Linked DNA regions of Schizosaccharomyces pombe. Changing the gene in region 3 together with the main gene of any one other region gives a genetic interaction. Each region holds a gene or a part of one and is shown on either strand. Other genes may lie near its edges.

What was found.
Region 1: mutations in emc1 (region 3) and cbh1 together harm fitness more than expected from each alone (negative genetic interaction), as found in Schizosaccharomyces pombe (one large-scale study listed by BioGRID).
Region 2: mutations in emc1 (region 3) and mmb1 together harm fitness more than expected from each alone (negative genetic interaction), as found in Schizosaccharomyces pombe (one large-scale study listed by BioGRID).
Region 4: mutations in emc1 (region 3) and SPOM_SPBC17A3.06 together harm fitness less than expected from each alone (positive genetic interaction), as found in Schizosaccharomyces pombe (one large-scale study listed by BioGRID).

What each region holds. Positions count from the first base shown.
Region 1 is NC_003424.3:4,458,278-4,462,918, reverse strand, and holds cbh1 (CENP-B protein 1), read left to right. Parts: upstream 1-2,040; 5' UTR 2,041-2,149; coding exon 2,150-3,694; 3' UTR 3,695-3,999; downstream 4,000-4,641. Other genes in the region: pyridoxal reductase Plr1, read right to left, coding at 134-1,135. UniProt on the Schizosaccharomyces pombe protein: Binds to centromeric K-type repeat DNA and ARS3002 DNA. The CBH-binding consensus sequence is Py-Pu-A-T-A-T-Py-Pu-T-A.
Region 2 is NC_003423.3:2,607,805-2,612,397, reverse strand, and holds mmb1 (mitochondrial microtubule binder Mmb1), read left to right. Parts: upstream 1-1,757; 5' UTR 1,758-1,854; coding exon 1,855-3,360; 3' UTR 3,361-3,710; downstream 3,711-4,593. Other genes in the region: SPOM_SPBC25B2.08 (uncharacterized protein), read right to left, coding at 1-189; BTB/POZ family ubiquitin-type ligase substrate adaptor Btb2, read left to right, coding at 4,028-4,090, 4,293-4,593. UniProt on the Schizosaccharomyces pombe protein: Involved in the cell polarity process and in regulation of microtubule growth. Has a role in meiosis. Involved in microtubule dynamics.
Region 3 is NC_003424.3:2,531,912-2,537,552, reverse strand, and holds emc1 (protein Emc1), read right to left. Parts: upstream 3,768-5,641; 5' UTR 3,733-3,767; coding exon 1,075-3,732; 3' UTR 898-1,074; downstream 1-897. Other genes in the region: ribosome biogenesis protein Sqt1, read left to right, coding at 1-852; atp19 (F0-ATPase subunit K), read left to right, coding at 4,339-4,383, 4,426-4,562, 4,625-4,649; CAF assembly factor complex subunit B Pcf3, read right to left, coding at 4,874-5,641. UniProt on the Schizosaccharomyces pombe protein: Part of the endoplasmic reticulum membrane protein complex (EMC) that enables the energy-independent insertion into endoplasmic reticulum membranes of newly synthesized membrane proteins.
Region 4 is NC_003423.3:1,411,117-1,414,715, forward strand, and holds SPOM_SPBC17A3.06 (phosphoprotein phosphatase), read left to right. Parts: upstream 1-1,748; 5' UTR 1,749-1,938; coding exon 1,939-2,931; downstream 2,932-3,599. Other genes in the region: SPOM_SPBC17A3.05C (J domain-containing protein), read right to left, coding at 246-991, 1,056-1,492, 1,547-1,575; mitochondrial glutathione reductase Pgr1, read left to right, coding at 3,380-3,431, 3,487-3,599. UniProt on the Schizosaccharomyces pombe protein: May be directly involved in signal transduction and/or cell cycle regulation. It is necessary for maintaining growth rate or spore germination. Could show both activity toward tyrosine-protein phosphate as well as with serine-protein phosphate.

The DNA.
Region 1 (4,641 bases), 1.9 Mb from region 3:
AAATGATTTAACATTTTCGCTGTAAATAAATTGTCATTACTGAATACCTAAGTAAGGCTAGCATATAATAAGTTTATATTTAATATGCATTTCAAAACTGAAATGCGAAAGAGTATCGACTAACTTCAGCACTTTAAACGGAAAGAGTGCCCGCAAGCTGTTCATTATAACGTAACCCGTAGATTGGGTATTTACTCAAGACCTCTTTGGCCTCTTTAAATTGTTCAGGAGACAAAGATTTATTCAGTGCATTGAGATTGCTCTTTGTACGAGAAACAGATGTGGAGCCAGGAATAGGAATGACCAGACCGTTTCCAGACGCCATTATAAAAAGAAGTGAAAACTCGGGCATAGTCATACCAAACTTTTTAGCAAGTTGCTCGACAGCTTGGAGGAATGGAAGATTTTTAGCAAAAACATCAGGGCTAAATCTGTCCAAATATTCTAAGAATGGGAAAGATTTAGCAAATTCTTTAAGGTCTTCGACAGTCTTAATGCGACCAGTCAAAAGGCCACGACAGAAAGGAGAGTATGCAATAATAGGGATAGATAACTTCCTACAAATATCCATAATACCGTTTGTCTCGATATCACGAGAAAACAAGGAGTATTCGACTTCGACTGCAGCAATGGGGACCACAGCGTGAGCACGTTTGATAGTTTCAGCAGAAACTTCGCTAAGGCCGACACATGAAATCTTTCCAGAGTCCACAAACCCCTTCAATGTCTTCATGGTTGTCTCAATGGGAACATTTGGGTCGACTCGAGCACATTGGAAGAGATCTAGCTTTTTGGTCCCACGTAAATGAGCTATCACATTTTCAACACTCTTTGACACGAAGTCCGGATTTCCATCAGGAACTAGTGTTTTAAAATCCAAACCACCTTTGACAGATAAAAACACCTTATTAGCGTTTTCGGGATATTTTTCAAAATATCTAGCTAATAAATCTAAATTAGAGGTGGGAGGGTCGACACCATAAAATTCACCCGCATCCCAATAATTGGAGCCTTGGGATAAGGCATAATTCATTACTTCAAAGGCTTCTTCATCTGGAGTTTGCTTGGGCTTCCAGGTTAAACCCATAAGACCAAAGCCAATAGGTCCGACTTTAAATCCGCTAACGATAGGCATCTTTTCACAACTTTAATTTAAAAATGCTTAACTCTGTAAATATCAAATGTGTATTCTCAATTTTAAGCGAATAATATTGGAAAAACTAAGCTGCTAGGTATGCAAAGCTTGCTATTTATATGATAACGGTACCGTATGCTGTAAGAATTTCCTAATGGTTCTTTGAGACGATGCTTACTAATTAGTTCTACTGTTAATAATAATGAATCAAACGTAAGTAACACCTACTCTTCGTACCGTAACTAGCTTAAACAGCTTTGTTCTTTATTTTTGGCTTTGCTTTTATAAATTTACTTCTACATTTTTAAACATTGGATCACACGTGTAACATACATTATTGAAATAGACTTGATAGTAAGTATTATGAATTGAACTATGAATGGAAATATTGGAATTAAAAGTAATTACACCAAAACTGAGAACTTACATATTATGTTATTTGAAAATTCGAGAATTTATTAAATGAAAGAGAAGGGAAAATGCTCATGAACTTCAGAATCGCCATTTTTGTTACAATACCAAGGAACATTTATTTATTTACACATTTTTGTTTAATAGTGAGAAGAGGTGTGCTACAGAAATGAAATTTGAGGAAGTATTCAATTAGACTCTCATTTAAAACATATATGAGAATTGATTTTAAACGGTTTCTAACAGCGTTCATGTCGTTCTTTCTCCTATTTTTTGCTCTTGAATTCTCTTTTTCTTACTGACAAAATCGTTAAGATACGCAAATTTGCTATATTAACCTGAACGTCATAATTTGAGCATCTCCAATGGCATTGTTATTACAGATTAACAATAGGTTCGGTATATTGCACTTAGATTATATAGGGTGCAAGGCAGAAGGATGCACTAGTAGTACTCACCTTCTTAAACCCTACAAGGATAGAATTCGTCTTTTCACCGTTATTTCCGATATCTACTACAACATAAAATAATTGTATAAATCCAAGGCTATACTCTTATATCGGTCTGGAAAAGTATCGGCATAGTAAGTATTAAGGAAAATCAATGCCTCCTATACGCCAGGCCGTCTCTTTAGCAGAGAAAAAGGCAATTCGAGATTATTATAACCAATCTGCCCATAGAATTCCTCAAAAGGAAGTGACAGAATGGTTTCGAAAAACGTACAATAAAGATTTATCGCAGTCAACGATTTCCGAAATTCTTTCACCCAAATACAGTTATTTAGATGATGGAAGTGTAAGACTCGGTGATATTAAAAAAATTCGAGCTCCAAAGTTTCCTTTGCTTGACAATGCCGTGTACGAATGGTTGCAACAAAGAGAAGTTGAAGGCCTTCCTATATCAGGGGATATGATCAAACAAGCTGCTACTCGATTTTGGTCGAAAATTCCGGCGTATGCTTCTCTCCCATTACCAGACTTTAGCAATGGTTGGTTGGATAAATTTAGAAGAAGACATTATATCCAGCAAAGTGCGGTAAATCAGGCATTGGAATCCATCAAATTTGAGGTGTTTAGAGAATACCCAGTTCATATTCAAGAGTTTATACGGCCTTATGCCCAAAAAGATATATTTTGCGTTGGAGGGACAAGCCTTTTTTGGAAACTCACTCCTAATAAACAAAACTTGGATTATCAGGAAATCCAGGGAATGAAGCGTGGAAAAGCCAAAGTGTCTTTAATTATGTGTTGCAATGCCGATGGGTCAGAACGACTACCTTTATGGATCGTGGGTTATGCACAAAACCCAAGATCTTTTGAGCAGTGCGGTATTTTCCCTAAAAGTATGAACTTCGAATGGAAGTGGAATGGCCGAGCTTCAATTTCACCAATTATTATGGAGGAATGGCTTCGGTGGTTTGACACACGTATGCAAGGACGCAAGGTCCTATTGATGTTAGAGAGCAATGACACATATCAGTTCGGTGTTGAAAGTGTTCGACGGTTTAAAGGTGGTTTTCAGAACACCTCTGTATTTCGAATTCCAGAAAAAACATTGGACATTAAGTCTCCGTTTGAACAAGGAATAGTCGATACATTTAAAGCGAATTATCGAAGATACTGGTTGCAATACTCCCTTAATCAAATCAACATATTGAGAGATCCTCTAAAAGCCGTTAATGTTTTAAAAGCCATTCGGTGGATGCTTTGGTCTTGGAATTTTGGGGTGAGTGAAAAGACTATTCAAGCATCTTTTCTCCGATCAGGATTATTGGGTCCACATTCCGAGGCCGAAGGACAAGGAATGGAGTCGTATCAAAAGGCCATTATGGAAATTGGTAATCTGATTTCAAGCAAGGGCAGCGAAGCTGTTAAGCAAATTAATGAATACATTAGACCTTCTGAAGAAGATGAAACCAAATTACATCAAGATGCTGTGGATACCGTTGCTGCAGAGTTTCTGGAGGAGAGACGCTTTGAGTCGGATGAGGAAGAAGACGTGGAGCCTCAAATATCAAACGTGGAGGCTGCCATGGCCTTTGAAGTCTTAATAAAATATTTTGAGCAACACGAAAATGGGGATCCCTCGTTTGTTTTAGATTTGTACCGCAGACAAAGAGTGATTGCCCCTAATAATTTAATAGCGTGATCCACTTACGGAAATAAATTGAGAGCGAGTCTTACTAAACCCAATAAGTGCTTCACGTTGGATGATTTCAATCTCCAAAGCAAACAAATTTCCAAAAAAAAAATATAGTGAAACAAAAGTCGACACTCGTACAAAATTACTTTTTTTAATTGAGATTAATGTTTCTGCTTACTTTTGGTTAACTATGGCGGGCGGCTTTGAACCCTTCTCGTTTAATATTCTTTTAAATTCACTTAGTGTGTGTACATATACCTGAACAACAAAACATTTTATAGGATTCTAATGATATTATGAATTATTAATGATTTTTTTTGTATAAACTGTGTCACATTGTGTTTTCCTTTGTTGTATGCAAGACAGAGATATAGAGAAGCAGTGAGAACAATTAATAAATAAAAATCAGTTAGCGCGCAAATGAAAAATAAAGCATTAAGCAATGATGCTTTAATAATTTAATTTAATTTAATTTAATTTAAATGCTATAGATGATGAATGATCATATGGTTTTGTGAGTGAGATGCTGTTTGAGTTGTTGCGCTGGTAAACCACTATTGGAAATGCTAGAAAAATGGGTAGGGGTTTTGATATGACTTTAAGTCCGAATCTGAAAACCGAACCATTAATTTTAATAGCTAGGTAAAAAAGCCACACACAATCAGAGATTTTACCAAAACAAGACATAAAAAAATCACATTATGGATATGAGGCAACTGGAGTGTGGAATTTAAGGAAATATGTTTATATAATTATGAGTTTTCATTGAGCTACAAAACAGAAGATATATTTCATTGAATAATTTCTGTAGTGATGACCCACTTTAAAAAAAAAAAAATTTGAAAGTAGAGTAAACAAAATGGAATATGCCATTTTTAAAATACACACTAGAATGATCCACACTAGCTATGGTGATCTTAAAGTATATATACATATCTTCTTAAATCTTGAAA
Region 2 (4,593 bases), on a different chromosome or scaffold from region 3:
AGTATGTTTCTTAATACCAGAACGGGAACGATTATGCATAGGGGTATTTAATTTTTCACTCGATATACATAACTTAGAGGGATCTTCAATGTTGACAGAAGTAGGAAGTTGCGATGGACTGCGCATATCATTTGCCTGCGCATCATTAGTGCCTTGACGGGTATAACTGGAATTTTGATGTGGAAGCATGGTAATAAATTTTAAGAAAAAGAGAAAATAAAAGTAAAATGGAAACAAATCACAATCAAAGGTGAAGTGATGGGATTAAAGGTTTTAATGAGAAAATAATTCGACAAATATGTAACAAAGGGAAACTTTTTTTTTGAATTACACGAAATGTTTTCAAACTTGAATTATGCACAAAATTAGAGAAACCTGAGAATAATAAATAAGCTTGATAATCCAAATAGCCAAGGGATTAATGGGATATAGGGTTGTAGTGATATTTCGGGTGTTTAATTTATTTAGAAATGGGTATAAAGTCCAGACTGTAAACAGAAAATAATCAGTAAACGAAATCTTTAGTGTTCCGTCCGAAAGAAGTTACCCTAACGAGATATGAAATTATGCGAACAGACGAAGTTTTAGAAGCCGACAATTGAATAAATAAAGGATCAAACTTGCTTAGTTTTATCGAAGGAAGCAAAGCAAGAGAACCGTGAGTAGGAAATAGAAAGTGAACAGTAATAAAAAAAAGTAAAACAGTAGGGAACGTTTTCTTAGAGCTTATTACAATTACGAAAAATAAAGCTTATCCCAATTGAGATAGTTAAAAAAAAAGGAACGAAATAAAACGATATGAAAGACAACAAAGGATGGAAAAACAAAAACAAACCGCTGAATGAATTAATCAAAAGAAAGCGGAAAAATTAATAAATACTCATCAATAGAGTAGCACAAGATGAAGCGAAGGGAGTAGGACAAGGCGTTAAGCCTGCGTTTAGTCTGAACAATAGATATAGACTAAAAAGTGAAAGACGGAATTTCAAAGTCTTAATTGGGGTATTCTATGTATATATACGTCCATATCTGGTAACATTTGCAAACCGTCTTTGATGTCAATTTAATAAGGAACCGAAGGTAACTTGCACACCTTGAGCAGTGACTGGGAGTAACACTCTCCTTGACATTCCCTCGGTACATAGGAGACGAATGAACCGAATGAACAAATAAACTAGATAGTTGCCCAAAAATGCACACAAAGCATTATCACTTTTATTAATTCAAATAACGACATACCAAAGTCGTAAAAGTTGGTAACAAACTCTTCAAATGATATTTCTACTATAACATTTTTCGTAGTACTTACCACTACGGGAGATTTGTAGAATCGGTATGATGCTGTGGAAGAAGAGTTATAGCGGGTTTCCTCAATGTGTACATGTTATTCTCATTGTACACTTGCATCTTAATTTTCACATTGCTCTCTCCCATCAATGATTTGCTTTGGAAAAACAACGGGAACAGAAATCTGGGAGGGAACGGAAAAGTATATTCATAGCAATCACAATTTAACGATAATTATTATGGTCAAATGAATACATATATTGAAAAGAATCGGTCAGCTGGATAGAAAATATGTAAACAGTGCAGCACTTATGAAGGTAATTTTATTTGTTTGCATCAGGTAGCAAGAGTTTTACGGGGATTAATAGAATTCGTTATATATACACTAACAATATAGGACGTAGTTTGTTATTGCTACCTAGTGTTGGGCGATACCAGCTAACGGTGTAGTGTATTTGGCTTTCTCTTTTGTGCATTCAGGGTTGTTGATTGCGAGTCTTATTCAATTTTATTCTGCCAATGCCGGGTTCACCAAGCCAAGAGCCTTTGGCAGAGGCCGAGTCTAATATGCTTCAAAGACTGGAGCAACTACAAATGCAAACATCGAATATTCTCAAGGAACTGCATTCTACGTCGATTTTCACGGATTCTACCACCTCACAACTTCATAATGGAGGTGAGAACTCTGTAATGGATACTGAGGAATCCTCGGCTATTGATAAATTAAGTGCCTCTTTACAGCAAGTAAACATTTCTTCACCATCAGTTCCTACCTCTCAATCTCGGGTTACCCAAGGCCAGTCATTAGGAAATACCCAAATATCTAATCCTACTTCAAAGACTAATAATGTACGAGCCAAAGCTCGGAATATTCGTAATCCCTCTCAACGTCTTCGACCCTCGACTAGTTTGGCCAGGTTATCAAATAACGCACCTCGCATTCCCAAAGAGGCATCACTACATGAGAATTCAATTTCTTCCAAGGAATCTCCTTCTGTAACGACCTCTAAACATGTCGCTACTATTACAAAACCTTCAACGTCGTCTATCGCCCGAATGTCCTCAAATGCTAGAATTGCTGCTATTCCGAGAGCGAAATCTTCAATGGCAGTTCGTTCACCATCACGCCTTGGTAATGGCCCGAATGTGCGCTCACCAAAGGTCGGCTTCAATGCAAAGTCGGATGATAGCCCCGTCGTCAAATCTCCTGGCTCTAACGACAAGCCTTCAGCTTCTCCTCGAATTTCTGTTCGTTCTCTCGGAAATTCTTCTGTCGTTCGTCCACCCACAAGGACTTCCACCACCCGTCCATTATCTAGAGTTAACGTAACAAATGCTTCCGGAAGTATCTCAAAGAATTCTACTAGTCCTTCCAAAGTAAAAGTCAACGCATCGACCAAGATCGTGCGTCCTGTAAGTGCAGCTCAGACTGTCCGACCGGGATCCAGAATCTTCAGAGAAAACTCTGCGTCCAATACTCAAAGACCCAACGTCTCTGCCACTTCTAACTCAACTGTTCGGGTAGCTTCTTCATTAGCTGTACGACCTGTTTCACGTAACGCGCAGGCGCGTACTCCCTCAAGATTAGAACAGAGAGAAGTTAATGTGAAAAATTCATCAGCTAAAATCGTTCGTCCAGGTACTTCTTTAGGTGTTCGTTCACCTTCTCGCATTCAATCCACTCTCTCTTCGAGGACAACTACAGGCAATGTTCGTACTAAAGCGGCTAATATCGTTCGTCCTTCTTCATCAATCAACCGTCGCCCTCCTTCGTCAATAAATCAACGCCCTCCTTCAAACTTGCGCATTTTGGCTCCATCTCGCTCGCGTGCAACAATTCATGAGAGACCAAGCAGTTCAATTTTACACAGGCATGCCCATTCACTAACTTCTTCATCCTTTTCCACTAAAACATTGGCTACAACCAAAGAAATTCAGAATTCGCCTACTTTGGTAGAGTCTTCGACAGTCGTTCATCATGATCCTTCTTATCTTCAAAACCAAACTTCCGAAATTAACGATACTAATCACTCTTCTCATTCGTCACCTTTGGACCTTAACAGAATGATATAAAAGTTGAGTGAGCTGCTGTAATTTGATGGCTTCTGTTCCATTTACACTTATTATTCTGCATAATTTATATCACATGTAGATGTTTTATCATAAGGATATTATTATTAAAAATAAGACAAACCATACGGGAAGAATTGGATGTTACGATTTGATATATTACTTTGTATTACTTAAGATCAGCTAATTAATAGCTTTTAAGCTGAAATTATGTTGCATAGGTTTATTCAGTTGAAAGCTTCACGACTGACTTGATGATAGTCGAGAAGTTTAGAGGGATGCGCTCTGTGTTAAAATTCAGCATGCAGCAACATCAGCATACAACCGATATGTAATAAATTAACATTAACAAACTGGCATTGTTTTCGTGCTCTATCAACTATCAGCAGTAAGTAATTGAAGACATTATGAAGTAAATGAGATTGCTGCATTACTAATTCATTTAGCAAAAAATTAAGTAAATAGAAGGGTTAATTTGTGCAACTTGTACGGTATATTTTGGATAGCGCAATTACGTTACGATTCATAACTGCAAGAATATCGAGCTACTCCAGTGCGCTTTCCTTAGGAAACCAAAACAATATTTTAGTACCTTTTTTTTAAATATTACTGACGAGTTTCATTCTGATTTCTTTTTATTACTCCTAACGGATGTGGCTTTAATACAATCATGTCAATGAACAGCTCAACGGAAATTTCTCAAGAGCCCTCTATAATGAAACCGGTATCTTCAGTAAGTATTTTTGCTATTTGAACTTCTGCGTACCTTGAGTCTCAGTTCTTGTATGAACTTTACTCTCAAATTAATGGTTGTTTGCGTAGTTAATTATTTTGGATTTATTGTTAAATCGTTCATGTTTTGTTTAACGATTTCCAAACAAAAAAAGTCTGAATATTTTACCTCTCCTTCAAAGAGTTTGTCTAACCCTAGCTAGATTTCAAGTTTCGTATTTAATGCAGGATTTTTACAGGGAACTTTCTCTGACACTACTCTCATTATAAAAGGTGAAACATATCATTTGCATGCCCTTTTTCTTGGCAGATCACCTGTTCTTCTACAAAAGCTTATTGAAAATAATCCCAAAGGTGATGTACATTATACCATAGAAGTAGAGACAGAGGATCCCTATGTTACTAAGGAATCCTGTTTGTTTGTGCTTTCTACATTGTATTGCGATTCCCCAAGAATCCCTGCTGAGGTGAATGTTTGTTCTGTTTTAGCGGTTAGTGATCTTC
Region 3 (5,641 bases):
ACTTATATTGCTACTGGTGGTATGGATAGTCAAGTCAGATTGTGGAAATCCAGTACAGGTTTTGAGTTCATTACTGCTTTTGAAACTGTGGACGAAATTGTTTGGTTATCTTGGCACCCTAAGGGCTTGTTCTTAGCCGCCGGTTGTAATGACGGAAGTATATGGATGTGGAGTCTTCCCTCTGGTAAGGTGGTTCAGGTTATGTATGGCCATACGGCACCTGTAAATGCTGGAAAATTCATCCCACCCGGTGTTGGCAAGCGTTTAGCAACCGTAGATGATTCTGGTACATTAATTGTTTGGAACCCGGCTACTGGAGCACCAGAATGCAGAATGTCTAGTGATGATCATCGCTTTGATCCTGGTAATGAAGAAACTGCCGCCGGTTGGACCAGCTTCGACTGTAATGCTGAAGGTAACGTTCTTTTCTTAGGAGGTTCGTCAGGAAAAGTAAAAGTTGTCAACATTAATAGTAGTCATATTCTTGCTTCTTTGGAGGCCCAAACTGAAAGTGTAGAAGCTATCGCACTTTGCACGGCCTTACCTATATGTGCGTGTGCTAGTGTCGATGGTACTGTCGCGCTTTACGATTCTGCATCCCTTAAGTTTAGAAAATCCCTTCCCCATGAACAAGCGGTTATTGATTGTAAGTTTTTACCCAACACTCCATATTTGTTGACTGCATGCGCGGATTGTGTTATTCGAAAATGGGATGTTCGGTCTGGCCAATTACTTGGCGAGTATACAGGCCATCAAGAGCCTATCTTGTGTATGGCTATTACTCCAGATGGTAAACGTGTTGTAACCGGTTCTGATGACACCGAATTACTTGTTTTTGATTGCGAACATTAAAAGTGTTAAAAAGGTTAATTTTTTGAAAAGAAAAAAAAATTATTATTATGGGATAAACGCGTTCGATATTAATTTATATATATTCATGGGGATTAATATTTTTTTTTTAAACTATTGAGTAAACAAGTAATACAAGTAAACTAGTGTTTTATCCAAGAATTATTATTCCTATATAATCTGTAGCAAATCTAATCAAGTATATTTTTATTCTCCATGGTGTTTTTAATTGTACCATTTGGTATTAAGCTGCTTTTTCTTTACCAAAGGCTTTGTTAACAGAACGGCGAGCAGAATGCCAAAAGTGGTCAACATAAGTTGTTTCTTATCAAAATGGCTACTGAGCATGTCATATGGCATACTTGGAGCTGTTCTGGTAAAAAAAACATCAAGTCCGGTTGATAAAACCAACGTCGTACTTTCAAAATTAGTAATACCAGAAGTGATTTGAGATACTCCGTACACGCGCTTGTTGTAAGACAACACCATATCATCGTTCAATGGTATAATGGGTTCGTATGGGATAAAGGACGCATCATTTGCTTTTTCATTAGGTCTAAGGACTGGGCGCATAGGGCTCAAAAGAGCTTGTGGAATCATTGCAACTTGGTTACTTGATAGGCCAAGTAAAACATCTCTCGAGGTGATGCCCTGCGGAGTGTTGGTGACACCCAAAGTCGTAATTTCTCTATCGAATATATATGCTTTAGTGAACGCATAGGGCCTGTAATCATTATGACGAGAATATATTTCGTTGCTGTCGATTTTTTCGTTAGAGTGAGATCCCTCAAAAAGCTCAACTGATATTATCTTGGTAGACAAATTAGGCACATCGCTCTGATAACTATAAACAAGCCAATTCTCGGAGAAGACTCCATAAACTTTGTCGAACAATATTATTCCTTGGTGTTTATTCTGATACACTATAGAACCGGTAACGGAGTCCATTACATAGACGACTAAATCGTTTTTGCATTTTGAAAATAACGCAAATAAATTGGGATTCAAATATTTGTACATTACTTCACGGTTTTGCAAAACACGACCGAAAGAAGCCACTATTTCGTGAGGATTACGACGTATAGAAGCAATAACTATTTCACCCTCGGCTAGATTGTACGACCATTGAACATCCATTGTAAGGTCAGCAGAAATACTGAACCCTTCGACTTTGGTTTCAGAAGTGTAAACAAAAATAGAATTGGCTTCTTGAGAAATTTTTTCGAATATTGAGTTATCACCGGTCAAGGGTAAAACCTTATAATCTTTTACGGCAAATATTTGATTAGGTAAGTTTTTGGAGATATTATCAACGTAGTAAAACTCGTCAGCTTTAAAGTCTCTAGATTTTTGAGATATCACGGACCCATCCGATGCATTCAAAATATAAAAGCTAAAAGCATCATTCCACTGGTGCACAAAAGCAAATTTTGGATCTTCGTCTGAAATATCCAATAGCCAAGATTCAACACTTTCCGGGTTAATATTAAAATCATAGCGCCATAATATCCTGTGCACTTGTTTAGGGTCGCTGGATAAACAAAATATAGATCCTGTTGATGTTGGTATAATAATTTTCGTGGTAAAAGCATCATCCAATACTGAGGATGAAGTAAAACCATGAGGATGTTTCAAGAAATCTATGAGTTGATTAAAATGACGGTACCATCGATTTAAGAAAGAGACCGATGAATTTTCCTCATCTTGAATGGATTTCTGGTAGCTTGTCAATAAAGTTGTTGGAAGAATAGAGGGATTGATAGCATATGCCAATGCTTCTTCCCGCTTCCAAACTAATTCGGTATTCGAAAATGAAAAGAAAGTTCCGTCGTCCAAAATTACAATTGCGGAAATTTCTCCCTCAGCAAATGTAAATAAACGGAATACAGGTCTAGAAAGCTGGTTGGGAATGGTAATTACTGTGGCTGGTGCGAATTTAATTTGATTAGCCACTGCAAACACTCGAGAAAATGTTTGGTTATCTTCCATATGGATATATCCTAGAGCTTCGGTGTCCTCATGTATATACTCATCAATCAAAACAAATTCGCTATCAATGATAACAAAGAGGTAAGTGACTGGGGTGGATTGAGAATCGACTGTAATTGAATAGCCATGTCTCTTACCAGGTATACTAGACCATTCGAATGTTTTATATTCATCTATAAGCAGTTGAGAAATATCTGCCATAGAAACATGGATACCGTAAATAACACCGTTGGAAGAGTAAATAATAACATCTTTCTCTGTGACTAATAATTGTGCGTTTTCAGGAACATTAAGAACAGTTTCAGGTCCATAAACAGCATAATTGTGATCTAAAGCTTGTAGAACAAATTGACCATCCCTCTTGAACAAGACGTAGTTTTTCTCAGCATAAGTCAAAAAGGAAATAGCATCTAATTGTAAATCCCTTTCAATTGAAATAGAAAATGAAGCTTGCAAATCCAACTCTATGAACTTGCGAGTATGAGGATTGAGGTAAACAAAACCTTTATTAACCTCAAATAATTTACCTTTTCCATCAGCGAGCTCAATTTTTCTGTCCAAAATACCATTTTTGGAATTCCAAATATACAAATAATCTTTGTCCACGGTGATAATAAAGTTAGTGACTGGGTTATAGTTGAGTTGACTAGTTTCAGGTGCAATGGATTGGCGCCAAATCACATCTCCGTTTGATGCATTTAATTTCGCCAATAAGCCTTTCTGAGAAACGGCATACAGATATTCATTTTTGGTGTCATAAACTAGGTCATTAACTTTACCAAGTAGAGAAATTTCGAAATCGTTTTTCCCTGCTTCATCTATTAAAACACTGGCAGCTCTATAGATGTTTAAAAACAAAGCAGTAAGAAAGAGAGGCCACAGAGGCCGTAACATCGTAACTGATATGAAAAGATGGTATGTAGTCCAGTACCTGTATAGTTCCTATTGTTAATGCAAGGTATCAAATATACTGAGGAGTAGCGAACTACAACACAGTTTACTGAAGTGCGTCCCAAGAATATGCTGTTATAGCGATGCTTTTCGCAATAAATACACATTGGGTACTGTAAACTAAACAATATGGTTTGAAAGCGTATAGCAATGTCGCAGCAAGATGAATGATTGAAAAATTTAGATATTTAAAAAGAATAGTCAGTTAATTAAAAATTTGCTGTGAAACACCTGTACATTCTCTACGTTTAGCAAACGTACTAAATGCAAACAAAATGTCTATAATCACATTTTTTACTATTTATCTGCTAATTTGAAGTAGTTCATATAAAAGGCAAAAGCTAGCTAACTTCCTAATTTCATGTAGTTGATTCTATTGCAATTTTATATGTACTTGAAGTGATAACTGTATTCCTTATTTTTCGTTAAGCTAATTTAACGAATATATTGATTGCTAAGTTTACAGTCGGCTTCATATTCGCTGCTAACCGTGTTAAACCTTTACCTCCCTTCTCTTGATTCAATCATTCACTATTAAATATAAGCATTATGTCGGTTTATACAATTGCAGGTCGTCAATTCCAAGCTCATCAAGTATGTATTTTTCAAATTCCGTACACCTAACAATGAACATAGTTGAGTTTAGCTGTTCTCGGTTCAGTATTTGTTGGTCCTGTGATCTATAGTAAATTGTTTAAAAGAAATAAGCCACTTAGCGCAAAGGATGTTCCTCCTTTGAATGCCAAAAGCAAAGAAGAAGAAGAATTCATTTTGTAAGTAAAGCTATTGCTCTATAGCGAGTGTTTGGAATATATTTACTAATACTACTTTATAGGAAATACATTGAAGAACATAAGTAGGAAATCCTTGATTACCGAACGGACGATTAGTGAGTGAAAAATTATCTTTTCATTAGTAATGAAATATCTCTATGTCATTAGGTAATTTTAATGTACACGTTGAGCAAATTTGAAGATGAATGAATACAATATAGCCCTGCAACATACCCATCAAAATTGCAATTAATTAATTGCTGTATAACTTAAAACTTTGTATTACCTCGTGTGATGGATGTAAGTATTTATTAATTAACAATAACATTGGGCTTCCAAATGTGTAATTCATTGTCATCAGCAACCGAAGCAATACATTGTGCCTCAAACGGATCAAAGTCCACTTCATTCACCGTACCTTTATGACCTGCATGCACAAACTCCAAAGGATTAGCTTTGTTAAAATTCCACACATAGCAATACTCTTGGCAGGCACTAACAATCCGACCAGAGTGTCTCCAGCTCCATGACAAACTGGTGCCTCCTAGAGTTAGTCTAGAAGGCACTTTTAATCTATTATCTGATAAGTCTTCAGAAGTGTTAAAAACCGATTTATTTAAGTTCCGAAGGTCCCAAAGCTGTAAATCTTGCTCAGACCCCAAAGCAAACAAAGTCGCAATTGAAGGATTATGTCTGACGCTAAAAAGGGGATTTGAAGCTTTAACTGTTTTCGAACATGTTTGTTGAAGTCGGTTATCACAAATAAAGGCAATTCCATTATCATTTACAGCAATATATAAGTTGGTGTGGTGCGGATGATATTCAACATCATTAACCGGAGAATCATCATAATGAAAATCCTTTACGGGAGTTAAGCACCTCGTATCACGGCTAAAATTATTTAGATCCCATTCTAAAATTTTCGAATCATTAGCAGCTGTTACAAGTCGGCAATTTTGCTGACGATTCCAAGATAGTCCAAACCCTTCTTTTTTGTGCCCAATCAAAGAGATATTTGGTAAAAATTCTTCAGCGGGCATTGAAGTATATTTTGTCCGATCAAATATATATGCATTTCC
Region 4 (3,599 bases), on a different chromosome or scaffold from region 3:
TTTGTTCATGTTTTAAAGGCAACTTTTAGGAATAACGCATGCCGATTTCATTAAAGATAAACAGCCTAAAGTTACCTAAAAACCGAAGAGGCAGGCTTTAAGATACGCGTAAAGAATATTAGTTTTGTTCCAAAAACCCAATTAAAATTTTTATGAAAGTAAACAACACGAGAATAGGTATAGATGTGAATTAAAGAAAATGAAACAAAACAAAGGACAAGGAAGTATGTCTCAAAGACTATTGCTTAAAAATAATAACTGTTTGAATAAGTTCGATAGCCAAGGCGGTTTAATTCTTCGCAATTAGGTAAACGCAATTCTTTAGCCTTCTTCAGTGCCTCTTTATCAGGAAAGAACCATCCTTGAGCTCTTCGAATTTCGTCTTCTTTAATTTGTTGCTCGCGCAAACAAGCATTATGGACGTTTTGAGTATACGTATGCTCGACTTTTTCGTTGAGTCTTCTTATATCTCTTGAACTTAGCTTATCCAAATCCTTTTGGCTCATATAGTATGGAATGTTATGCTTGGCAGTAGTACGAGGAACAGTGTATTTATAGTTTTGTTGAAATGAATAGCGCGTATTAACCGACGTACTATCTGACCAACTAAAGTTGGACAAAAAGGCAAAAAGGATTACCACTATCAAAGGTAGCAACTGATAAAATATGCTCTTTGGGGGCATGTCCTGGGCCTGCTGACGACGTGCAAAATTCCTTGGACGGCCGCCAAACTGATGAACTCGAATGCCAGGTCCACCACCGAAGAAAAATGTTCCTGGACCTGAAAAGAACTGGTCACCAAAGAAAGAATTGAACAAATCTTCGGGAGACATATTCGCTTGAGGATAAGCAGAAAATCCAGGATGGCCTCCTGCGTTACTACTAAAAGAGCTGCTCGCAGCAGAGGCGCGAGATTCAGGATCCATTCCTGTACGGTCGTAGTGTGCTCGTAGATTAGGGTCTGATAAAACCTGAAAGGCTTTTGAAACCACTATAAAAAAGTTAGGATACAAAAAAAAACCTTAAAAATTATTAGCTAAAAAATGAAGACGTACTTTTAAATGCTTCGTCAGCACTAGGTGCGTGATTTTTGTCTGGATGGAGCTGTAATGCTAATTTTTTATAAGACTTTTTGATTTCTGTATCAGTGCAGGTTTTCTTTAAATCCAATATTTCATAGTACTGGTGATTTTTGTACTTTATGATTTTCTGGACCAACAAATGTTGTTCGCTTGTCCACTTCTGTTTCTTTTCACCAGCAGAGCTATTCCCATTTTCCCGCACCGACTGTTTTTCAGAAAAAAAGTTACTCTTGTTTTCTTGCTTAGGAGTTGCCTGAGGATTTGGAGAACCTGTAAGCTTTTGCTTTTCTATTTGTTTCACAAAATCTTCGCCCTCAGTGGTAGCATGAATTCGCAAAGATTTATTAGCAAATTTTAAAGCCTTATCATATTCTCCGGCATTTAAATACTTTCTTGCAAGTCCAATGCATCTACACGTAACATGTGTTAGTAATAAAATCTCACGCAATCCTCATTATTCGTACCTAAGGGCTTCTTCTCTACTAGATTCCATTTTGGTGATATGAAAGAAGGAAATTAAGTCCAAGTTTGATGAGAGAACCAAAGTTTCAAGTGCCTTCAATCTCTGCCAACTTTGTACTTGGATGGATCGATGCTACCAGAAACCCTTTAAACCAAGTAACATATCGAAGGTCAAGTGGCTTAAGTAACATGCACTTTTGAATCAATCCAAACACCAAAAACAGGAATAAAAGGGAAAACTAATTGATATATTTAAAATAATTCAAAAAGAGCATTTTTTGGTTTTGGTTGTTTGCCAAGCGAAATAATTAGAGTAATTGGAAAAGTTAAGTGTTTTTCATGTTTTTATGTTTCTTTCGGTTTCAAAGTGGTAAATCAGAAACTTAATAATAGAATGAGCAACAAAAGTGCATGGCAACCTCAGTTTGATGAAATTCACTCATCCGTTCAAGAAGCAGAAGGGTTTTTACAGTCTAGCAACGATGTACAGAAAGCTATAGACGAGGTGCATTATCCTGACAGCCTCAATGACTTGTCGGAAATATCAAAAAATTTGTATATTAGTAGTTGGAAAACGGCGTCAGAGCTAGTGTCTACTTCAGACAAAGGGATCGATTATACATTAAGCGCTATGAGTATTAATCCCAATTTGTCGGTTCCTGAACAACAACACCTTTGGTTGCAAATTGAAGACTCTAGTTCTCAAAATATTCTGCAATACTTCGAAAAGTCAAATAAATTCATCGCTTTTGCACTATCTAAAAATGCCAAAGTTTTGGTTCACTGCTTTGCGGGCATATCAAGGTCCGTAACCTTAGTGGCTGCATACTTGATGAAGGAAAACAATTGGAATACTGAGGAAGCACTCTCCCATATTAATGAAAGGCGCTCTGGAATATCTCCTAATGCTAATTTTCTTCGTCAACTTCGCGTATACTTTGAGTGTAATTACCAACTTGATCGAAGTTTGCGCCCATACCGCCAATGGCTGTTCAGAAGATATGGTGATTTCGCGGTGTTGAATACTAGGGTACCATCTGAAGTCGCTTACGCTGAGACTGTCCGTGCCCGTGCAGGACAATTAGAGCTTCGCTGTAAAAAATGTCGGTTTGTCCTTGCCAGCTCTGATTATCTGGTATCGCATGAACCGAAAGATGAAAATAATTATTCTCATACAAGATGTACTCATTACTTTTTGGAACCTATTCGCTGGATGCAGCCAGAATTGGAGTTGGGAAATTTGGAAGGTCGATTTGATTGTCCAAAATGCAATTCTAAAATTGGTTCTTATAAATGGCAAGGTTTACAATGCAGTTGTCTTCAATGGGTTTGTCCAGCTTTAAGTATTTTACAGTCGCGTGTAGACGCTGTTAGGAAACTCGGTTGATTTTTTTTTCTGCGTGTGTGAATCATCCACTTGCTTCAAAGTTAATGTATATTAGGAAGATCGCTCTAGGTTTTCAAATCATCTATGTTTATTACAAAAAAATGGTTTATCTTAAAACATTGGTTGCTTTTCCAGAGTTGTCGATGAGATCTTGTAATTAAAGTACTAACCAGTTCTGAATACTTATTTTTTAATAAAAACTCTATACTATCATTGGCCTGAGAAAAGTATTTCCATCTGTTCAATGGCAAAGTCTAAGGAATTCTTCTAATCTAATTATCACTTTATGGAGGTATTGCTTACTTTTGAAGATGACTAATATTGCCATAAAATTTCCTAATATTATCATAACGAATTCATGGTAAAGACGTCTTACCCTTACCTTCCGTTGGTTTATAACAGTATTCAACTTCTTCATTACCTATATACACGAAGTATTAAAACTAGAATGGCACCTATTTCAAAGGTCTTTGATTACCTGGTAATTGGTGGTGGAAGTGGTAAGTACAATTCGATACTTTCGGGATTTGATGGGTTAACATTTATGAATATTAGGCGGTTTGGCTTCGGCTCGTCGTGCTGCCAAACATGGAGCCAAGGTTGCTTTAATTGAGGCATCTGGGCGCCTTGGAGGCACATGTGTAAATTATGGATGTGTACCCAAAAAG